2 linked regions of the Tribolium castaneum genome follow. Each later gene encodes a partner of the first gene's protein in a complex. Links are inferred from orthologs where the notes say so. Each region holds a gene or a part of one and is shown on either strand. Other genes may lie near its edges. The genes, in order: WD repeat-containing protein 48 homolog and Usp12-46.

The links.
Region 2: WD repeat-containing protein 48 homolog (region 1) and Usp12-46 share a complex: the UniProt entries of both Drosophila melanogaster proteins name them as parts of the usp12-46 deubiquitylase complex. The link is inferred for Tribolium castaneum from reciprocal best matches to the Drosophila melanogaster genes CG9062 and Usp12-46.

Annotation. Positions count from the first base shown.
Region 1 is NC_087402.1:5,165,384-5,169,642, reverse strand, and holds the start of WD repeat-containing protein 48 homolog, read right to left. Parts: upstream 3,081-4,259; 5' UTR 2,876-3,080; coding exon 2,828-2,875; intron 2,772-2,827; coding exon 2,567-2,771; intron 2,520-2,566; coding exon 2,307-2,519; intron 2,260-2,306; coding exon 1,916-2,259; intron 1,867-1,915; coding exon 1,762-1,866; intron 1,519-1,761; coding exon 992-1,518; intron 947-991; coding exon 739-946; intron 693-738; coding exon 420-692; 3' UTR 217-419; coding exon of another isoform or gene 1-216. Other genes in the region: adenylate kinase isoenzyme 1, read right to left, coding at 1-216; uncharacterized protein LOC107397745, read left to right, coding at 3,860-3,871, 3,922-4,259. UniProt on the Drosophila melanogaster protein: Regulatory component of the Usp12-46 deubiquitylase complex. activates deubiquitination by increasing the catalytic turnover without increasing the affinity of deubiquitinating enzymes for the substrate.
Region 2 is NC_087402.1:3,058,947-3,063,391, forward strand, and holds Usp12-46 (ubiquitin carboxyl-terminal hydrolase 46), read right to left. Parts: upstream 3,048-4,445; 5' UTR 2,905-3,047; coding exon 2,902-2,904; intron 2,762-2,901; coding exon 2,681-2,761; intron 2,633-2,680; coding exon 2,416-2,632; intron 2,367-2,415; coding exon 2,286-2,366; intron 2,237-2,285; coding exon 2,127-2,236; intron 2,073-2,126; coding exon 1,737-2,072; intron 1,526-1,736; coding exon 1,382-1,525; intron 1,326-1,381; coding exon 1,218-1,325; 3' UTR 610-1,217; downstream 1-609. Other genes in the region: RpL21 (large ribosomal subunit protein eL21), read left to right, coding at 65-544; N(4)-(Beta-N-acetylglucosaminyl)-L-asparaginase, read right to left, coding at 3,168-3,402, 3,447-3,554, 3,599-3,786, 3,836-4,061, 4,109-4,265, 4,320-4,437. UniProt on the Drosophila melanogaster protein: Catalytic component of the Usp12-46 deubiquitylase complex.

The sequences.
Region 1 (4,259 bases):
GATTGACGAAAGAAATTGCAAACGGAGCATGTGAAAGTTACTAATTTCGGTCAAAATGTGAGCAAGGCTCGTTTTCCCGGAGAAAGACGGTCCGATTATCCAAAAAATAGGCAAACGCGCTTCGATGAACTCCTTCCACAGAGGGTCTTGCGGGAAAAAATTTGAAACGCTGAAGCCTGAGAAAAGCTTTTCAGGCACGTTGGGCAAGTAACACATTTTCAATTTTGATCACAAGACGGATGTGACAGGGAAAATGACAAGTCAAAGTTTTTTAAATAAATTTATTTTAATTTTTCGTGTTACATATTTTTATTGCAAACAAATACGAAAAACATATACTGCTAAATGTTTGATTACAAGAAACTAGTATAAATCTGTCCACCAAAATCATGGATAAATAAATAAGTGTAAGGAATGAATTATTTGGGGTTGACAATCCTGTAGTGCAGCGTCAGGTCTGCCGAAGATTTCCAGATGAAATGTTTAACGGTTCGTAAGTCCATGGCTGGGTCCAGGACTTGGTCATTGCAGGTCAGTTCAATTTGATCAACGTTGTACCCGTTGCCGCTGGGAGTGGTCGAATCGGCGTCACCTCCGGGAGAACTTGCGTTTCCATCCCCCAGTAATTTCTCCAAAATATGTTCGGCAACTTTGCGACACTGGATAAAATCATTGGCTACCAATCTATCGGGCTGAAAAAACAACTTCAAGGAGTGTTAAACCAAAAAAAATAGCTACTTTTTTCAGTCTGTCTTGTTTCAATAAATGAGACGGGACCGAAGAGTGCGGCTGAAGGTAAAACTGCACTTTGATGAATTTCCCGGTACTGTTCTCCTCAATAATGGAAATAACCCAATTAGGCACTGTTTCGTTCAGGAGCGCATTTTCGGTGTCTCCGACTGTGTCGCCCACCAAGACCCGGTAAAGCGTGCGCCCGCCCACTTCACTACAAAAAATATTACGGCAATTTGTCATTTGAGGCTTTATTTACCTCAAAATCAAGGGTATATGTTTGGGTACTGAGAAGTACAGTTTATTTTCGGGGTCTCTCTCCACGCCTCTCCAATGCTCGAACAGTGCTTGCAGTAGCAATTTTCCGTAGTTTACTTTTTGGTCGGGGTCTGGACAGTCCCTGATTCCCGCATCCCTGGCCGAAACCCAGGCCGAGAAGCAATCGACTTCGTCCTGTCCTAAATGAATCGTCAGCATTCCAGTCTTTAAATCAACATTGAACCAATTCGGGACGTAAACTACTTTGAATCGGTTTTTTATTTCGTCTTGGAAATTGATTTGGCCTAGGTCTTCGATTTTTCGCGCACGCAAAACGTCGTAAAGAGCGACATTATCGTTGGCATCTTTGGTCAAAATGTGTCTCTTGTCGTTGAGAACGACGGCCTGACGTATCGCAGCACCGCCTGGTATCAGCGAAATGGGCGATGTCGGCATTTTGGCCTCTTCTTTGAAGTGTTTCTCGGTTGGCAACTTCCAACAGCGAATGCTGGAGTTGGAAGTTGACACCTAGGTAAACCCGAAAGCAAGAAAAATTATAAATAACAGACAATAAAATGCGTGAACGGGAAACGAAACATAAATAGAAAAAAAATGTTGCCTCATGTGCTTCCAAATAACAATAAAAAAAGAGAAATGTTGGAACTACAAAAACTTTGTTCAGCTGTTTGTACCTTGAGTATTAATAACAACAGAAAATGTTGAGGAATTGGGAAATCTTTAAGAAATCTGATGCAAAAAAAAATTACTAACCCAGACAGCCTGCTGGTCTGCCGTGAAGCACATTTTGAGCACTGGCGCCTCCTCCACACAGACCACAACGCTGTTCTGGGGGTTTTTCAGATCAGTCATTATCACCTGGAAGTTATTTGGTAAAATTTTTCAAAATAACGTGCAAAATCATTGCCTTCTTGTCCCTACCACCGGAGATTACATGAGTGAAATTTTCCGTGGCCAGAAGTGCCCAAACGGAGTCGCTATGCACTCTGATTGTTTGGATACACCTCTGGCCCCCTAAACTCCACACTTTGATGGACCCATCGCTGCTGCCAGAAATGCAATGAGTGCCATCTTTTGACACAACTAAAGCCTTAACGTTATCAGTGTGACCTTTTAACTTAAACAACTTGACGCAATTTCGCGGGTCCCAAAGCCTGAGGGCTTTCTCGGTGGATCCGCTTACTATAACAGTGCCTGGAGGGTTCATTGCTAGGCTATAAATTGATTCTTTGCTGCCCATCAAACTAGAAGCTATTAGAATTCGTGTGAGTGTGTGTATTACAACATTCTGGACTTACTAGTGACTGTGTTATTGCTCGCTGTTAGTGCTGTTAAGGTGTTGATGTCCCACAAGTAAATGGATTTATCAAGACCTGCAGACGCGACTTGTTCTCTGTCTTTGGCGTAAGCCAAGGCTTTCACATAGTCTTTATGTGTTCGCAGAGTTGACATGCAGAAGCCCTTGTGGGCGTTCCATACTTTAACAGTAGTGTCAGAACTTGCAGAGATTACTATAAAAATATATTCAGGAAAAAATAAACGAAAGGGGAAGTAATACAGTGCCGGCCTCCGCAACACAGAACTATGTCATTAACCCAATCAGTATGGTGCTCCATTCCGTGTAAATAGCGCTCATGTTCATACACCCTAATAATTGAGTCCCTCCCAGCAGAATACAAACGGTCTAATGCCGGATCTATCTGAAGGGCATTTACCCCAGATCTGTGTCTTTTCTCCTCAGCTTCGCAAATTACCATTGATACCTGGCCAAGATTGTTGCAAAAAACTGTTTTGTAAATACAGAATGTAAACAACTAACCTGGACTTTTTTTCGCGGATTTTGCCCGCCTGGCTTCAGATTTGCCATTTTTTGGAAGTTTAGCAATGTGGCATTTTTTATTTAAAGAAATGGGCTATAAATTGGCGTGATTAGTGTAAAAAAAGCTTTTTTGAAAAGCTTTGTAAAAACTTGAGGTTAGAACGGTCTGACTTTATTTTGACATTTGGGAAGCCAGCGCAGTGGCGGCACGTAATTAGGGGGCAATGATTAAAAAAATGCGAAAAGTTTTGTGTTTCAGTAATAATTCAACTCTAGACCATCCGTCACAATAACCATAACATTTTTGTAATTTTGTACCGGTTTAGAGCAGCGTCATTGTAAATTAATATTCATTACATAAGTGATCACATGACTAAATTGAACCAATCAGAACGCTTCATTAACGCGTCAATCGAAAATTTAATATGAATTTTTGACTTGTTTTCTAGGAATTTTAAAAGATCAAGAATCTTGACTATCATTTGGTGGTTTTTTTCTAAAAGTTATTCGGTTTTTTCTGATATTCTTGCGATAGATTGGACTTTAAAATAGAATGTAAAAAATTGATATTTACTTTTGGAATCACTTTCTGAATTTGTCGTCTTCATACCTATTTACATTTTCCGTTTGTAAATTTTTTTTCTAATAATTTATTTAGAATTATTTATTTGGAAATTATTATTTATTTGATATTTAAAACATTGCCAAATATTTGAACGCATTAACATTTTCTAGAACCAGTCGCAGATTTAGGTACCACAGCAATTATTTTAATTTCCGCGTGCGTGTAACAATTCTTACGTAAGATTTCTAAAGATTTCATTCCACTCTATTAATTAAAATCGGGTACCTAAGCTTAAATTATTGTAAATAGGTCACTTTTACATTTGACCCCTAAATTGTGCACAACGTTGGTAAGAAGTAACTGATCTTAACCATGGTGTTATATTGAAACAAGTGCAAGAATGGTATCACGTTTCAAATAATCACTATATAAATCATGGGGTACCATTCATTCGTCACTGTTTCAGAATGAATCATTTGGTAAGTCCTTAATGAAATTTATTAATTAATAATAATTAATCAATATTAAGTTCGTTGCCGTTTTCGCCATCGTGGCGATAAGTTGCGTTAAGGGAGGGTTTCTGTATGGGGGCGGAGGTGGAGGCGGAGGCGGCGGCGGCGGCGGTCATGGGGGTGGCAGCGTGGCCACTTCAAGTGTTTACACCGCTCGCACCATCCACACCGGATCTCTAGGCCACGGAGGCGGTTTTTCTAGCGGAGGTGGTTTCTCAAGTGGCGGCGGTGGCGGTTCTGGCGGCAGCGGAGGACGAGGAGGACACTCTGGAGGATTCTTCGCCAGTGGCGGCGGCAGCGGCGGAGGCGGAAGTGGCGGATTCAGTTCCGGCAATTTTGGAGGTTTTGGTTACGG
Region 2 (4,445 bases), about 2.1 Mb from region 1:
TAAACGTTACAGTGTTGAGATATTGGTCTTATAATAACTTGTGCCCTTTTTGCAGGTCTGAAAAATGACGAACTCGAAAGGTTATCGTAGGGGAACCCGGGACCTGTTCTCTCGGAAGTTCCGCAAGCATGGGGTTATCCCCCTGTCGACGTACATGAAAGTGTACAAAGTCGGCGATATCGTGGATATTAAGGGCAATGGAGCCGTTCAGAAGGGCATGCCCTACAAGGTGTACCATGGGAAAACTGGCCGTGTGTTCAATGTGACGGCTCACGCTTTGGGTGTGATTGTTAACAAGCGTGTTGGGGGCCGTATTATCCCCAAACGTATCAATATCCGTATTGAGCACGTGAATCACTCCAAGTGCAGGCAAGACTTCTTGACCAGAGTGAAACAAAACGAAAAATTGCGAAAAGAAGCTAAGGAGAAGAACATTCGAGTGAATTTGAAGAGACAGCCAGCACAGCCAAGGCCTGCACACATCGTCAGTGGGAAAGTACCAGCCGTTCAATTGGCTCCTATCCCATATGAATTTATTGCTTAATTTGTACGCCTTTTGTGTAATAAAGACATAAAACAAATTTGGGTGTTTGAAATGAAACGAGTCAGTGCATTTTTTCAAATATATTTATATCTAACGAATATTTACAGAATAAAAATAAAATCTGCTTAGCAGCATTTATACAGTATGTTCTAGTTTCTCATATAATATTTAAAAGTTGTATAGTATTTGTTAACAAAATAAGAAGAGTGAATTTTACTTTTTTACCGTGTAGGGGACATAATACTCGCTAAATTAGATGCACGGTTTGGTTACCACCTAAGAATTATTGCTAATTGGAATAAATATAAGGTTTGTAAAAAACAAATTAAGTAAACAAGTAAAATTCACCATACAGTCAATTATTCCTATGCTGTTCCACCACAATAAAGTAAATCTTGTTTTCAACATATCGCTATTTATTGCAACAGAACAACAAAATCAACGTCGATTCGTTTCGAAAAGTACGGGTAAATCGCTTTGAAAGAAAAATTTTAGGAAAAAAGTACGGCCGGAAACTACAATATGCAATAAATAAAATATAAATCCAACAATTTTCAGTTTCAAATCATATTTACAGACTTTTTTCATAAACATTACCCGTCCCAATGCAATGAGAGGTGACTTTGTACTTGTATTAAATCCTCTCAATGATTAAGGCAAGGAGCAGCAGAGTTCATAAACTCTCTCGAGACTGGTAAAAAAGGATGTAGCCTGTTTCTGAAGACTTTTGAGTATCAGACGTGAGGCCGTAGAAATCTTCTATTGTTGAAGCGTCTATTTTCTATTCAAAAGCACAATAATAACCATCGGGAATTCTCAAATACGCACTAAACTTACGTCAACTTGGTCGTCGTCAAACAGCAGCCAGAAACCGTGGCTCTTGACTATACTGATGTAGTGGCCTCTGTTAGGTCCGCTTCCGCAATGTATCACAACAGCTACTAAATCGTATAATCGGTCGGGATTAACTGCATCGTCCGACTGAAAACACAATTAAACTGTAGCTCAAACTCAAATTATTAAAATCTCGGACATTTATCTTTAACCGTATTCGCAGTGTTTTGAAAAACACGGAACGAAGCGCAAATTTTGAATAATTTTTCTCTCATGTTTCTTATGAAAATTTTAGTCTATTAAGAGTGCAAAAGCTCAAGTAATTAGTTAACTGGTGGTATTTAAACAAATTGCTTACTGTGTTGAAAAGTCTCAGTTCCAAAGGAAACACAACTCTGTGTGAGACCTTAATGTGCCTGTTGTACTGTTCCATGTACTTGAACCTCTTGAGATGCAATGCAAGAATCATCGGCAGTTTCTTCACCCTCATTCGTTTTTGAGCTTCCTGGTAACTACTGCAGTTATCACACTTAAATTTATTATCGCTACACAGAGTCTCTGTATTACTAAAACACCTCAAACAATGAGTTATACTAGTGTTCTGTTCGATGTCCACTTGTAAATCAAAAAAGTCTTCATCTTTACTGCTCACATTCTCACAATTCAAACACCTAGTTTCACTTGTCAATATACCCTACATGGAATAAAAAATTTGTGAGTTTTAACCCAACAAATCGAACAACAGTACCTGAAAAATCTCGTGTACCCAAGTGGGCTCAGGAGTTGTGTGTGCAGTTCCATTTTCTCCCGTTGCTTTTGATTTTATGTTGTTTGTGGTTGAGTTTTGTTGTCTTTCAGCTGTAATTTATTGTAAGTCAAGGGAGCATTACTAAAGAACGCGACTTACCCAGAATTATTTCACTAATATGGTTGATTAAAAAATTTAAAAATTCATGTGCATCCTGTTGCATGTAATTATCAAACTCCTCTACAAGACTCAAGTAAAAACACCGGTTTAAAAAAACATGCCAACAAACCTTTTTCTTTTCGTAGCCTTGCTATAAATTTTTTTGGTGCAATAGAGCCTACTTTCTTTTTCTGCGTCGCAATGCTGTGGAACAAATCTGCAAGACATGTAAGCAAAGTTTCTTTAGTCCTCTTATTTTTCGCTTTGTACTCTAAAACTCTATCTCTAAAAGGTTTGCAGAAGTATAGAGCCTGAAGAACCGAGTTACTATAACACGTATTTCCAAACTGCAACAGCACAAGTCAGTGGGAAAACACCCAAGCTCAGCAACTCACATTTACTAAACCAAAGTAATGTTCATTAGAAGGAAACTGTTCAGAGCCGATATCTCGTTCCAGCTGGGATATATTCGCACCCTACAATTGATTAAAATACAATTAACTCAATAAAATAATTAATTATGACACAGTGACATTATTAAATTGTGGTTAGTTCATGTTTGACTCGAAAGTTGGGCTCGGTTTGCGGTAACCTCTCTCGTGGCCTTTGCACTTACCATATTTTAATAACTAATCCATCACGTTTATGTTAAAAACGTCCAAAAACAATACTTTTAAATCACAAAACTTCCCCATTATTGCATTTTGACAGCTGTAAAACAACCCATGATAACAGAAAGTGACAGGCGACATGCCCACAAACATCGCGATACCGAATTTCCCCAACACTTAAAGACAGAGAGACGCAGGAAAAAGGACAACAGACGAACAAAAATCGATCCAAATTTATTTATTTTGAATAAAGTAATTACAATAACAGCTTTCATGCCTTTTTGGTGCAATTAACTGTCTTCACGACCACTCCACCGAGCGCTTCGCTCGCCACACAGAACGGGAACGAATCCATTCCGTTACAGGCAGCCCCAAATTCCCCCTTGTTAGTGCTCACTAAAACAGCCCCGAAAAAATCGGGGTATTTTTCCGCAATTCTATCGATGGCCGTTTGGGCTGCTTTCGCAGGCGAGGCGCCGCGTCTCATCTCCTCCACTGCCAAAAAACTATCACAAGCATTAATATTTGAAAATAATTATTAAAAAAGAACCTGGGCAAAAATCGCATCATTACGTCGCCATCGCCTGTTGCCACAGCCGCCCCGACTGTGCTATCGGCGTACGCGCCCGCCCCAGGTATGGGGGAATCCCCGACACGTCTGAAAAAATCAATTAAACCGATTGAGAGCGTTTAACATTATACCCTGGGATTTTGTGACTGGCTCCGTTCGTTGAAGTCCCCGCTGCAACGTTCCCACACTCATCTATGGCAATCATGCCAATTGTGTCATGGTTATCGGAATTAAAAATTTTCCATGGCTCATCTGCCAGGATTTCGTTTGAATCGGCTTGGTAAGGGCCGCATGATTTCGTAGGGTCCGGATTTACATTCTGATTTAACACTATAATCATATTAAAAATCATAAAGTGTTGTAAGTACCTGCCAAAAGTTGGGCTGACACTTTCTGGACTTCCACTCCTTCCACACGTTTGTGGAATAATTCGTAGATAAATTCTCTTCATGCAGTTCGAAATTTTTTGCAAATTCAGTCGCTAAATCACCCACAAGAAATGAGTGTTTTGTGTGCTGTAGAACCATTTTTGCGGCAAGTGCCGCGTCTTTGATTCTTCTCAAACCACCAACAGCCCCCATATTCATTGTGGTGCTGTTATATAATTAGGAAACAATTATGAAATGTAAATGTACACGAACCCGTCAAATATCATGGCGTCAAGGGTAGTTTCCCCGTTTTCGTCGGGACTTCCCCCATACCCAACAGTGTGGTCACACTGCAGTTCTTCGCAAGTGGAACATCCGGTTACTACAGCGTCCACAGCGGTCGAATGAGCCTCTTGCAAAGTTAAAAATGCTGACAAATGAGTAACATAATTAAAAAAAAATTGCAAAAATAAAGCGACTTTACCATTTACCGCAGCTTGATCAAACCACCAAGTATTCATAGCAATAGGAATAGAAGCGTGAGCATTGTCGAAGAAAATAAGGAAAATCGTAATAACAAGAATAAAAAATTTGAGAGTCATTATAAAGT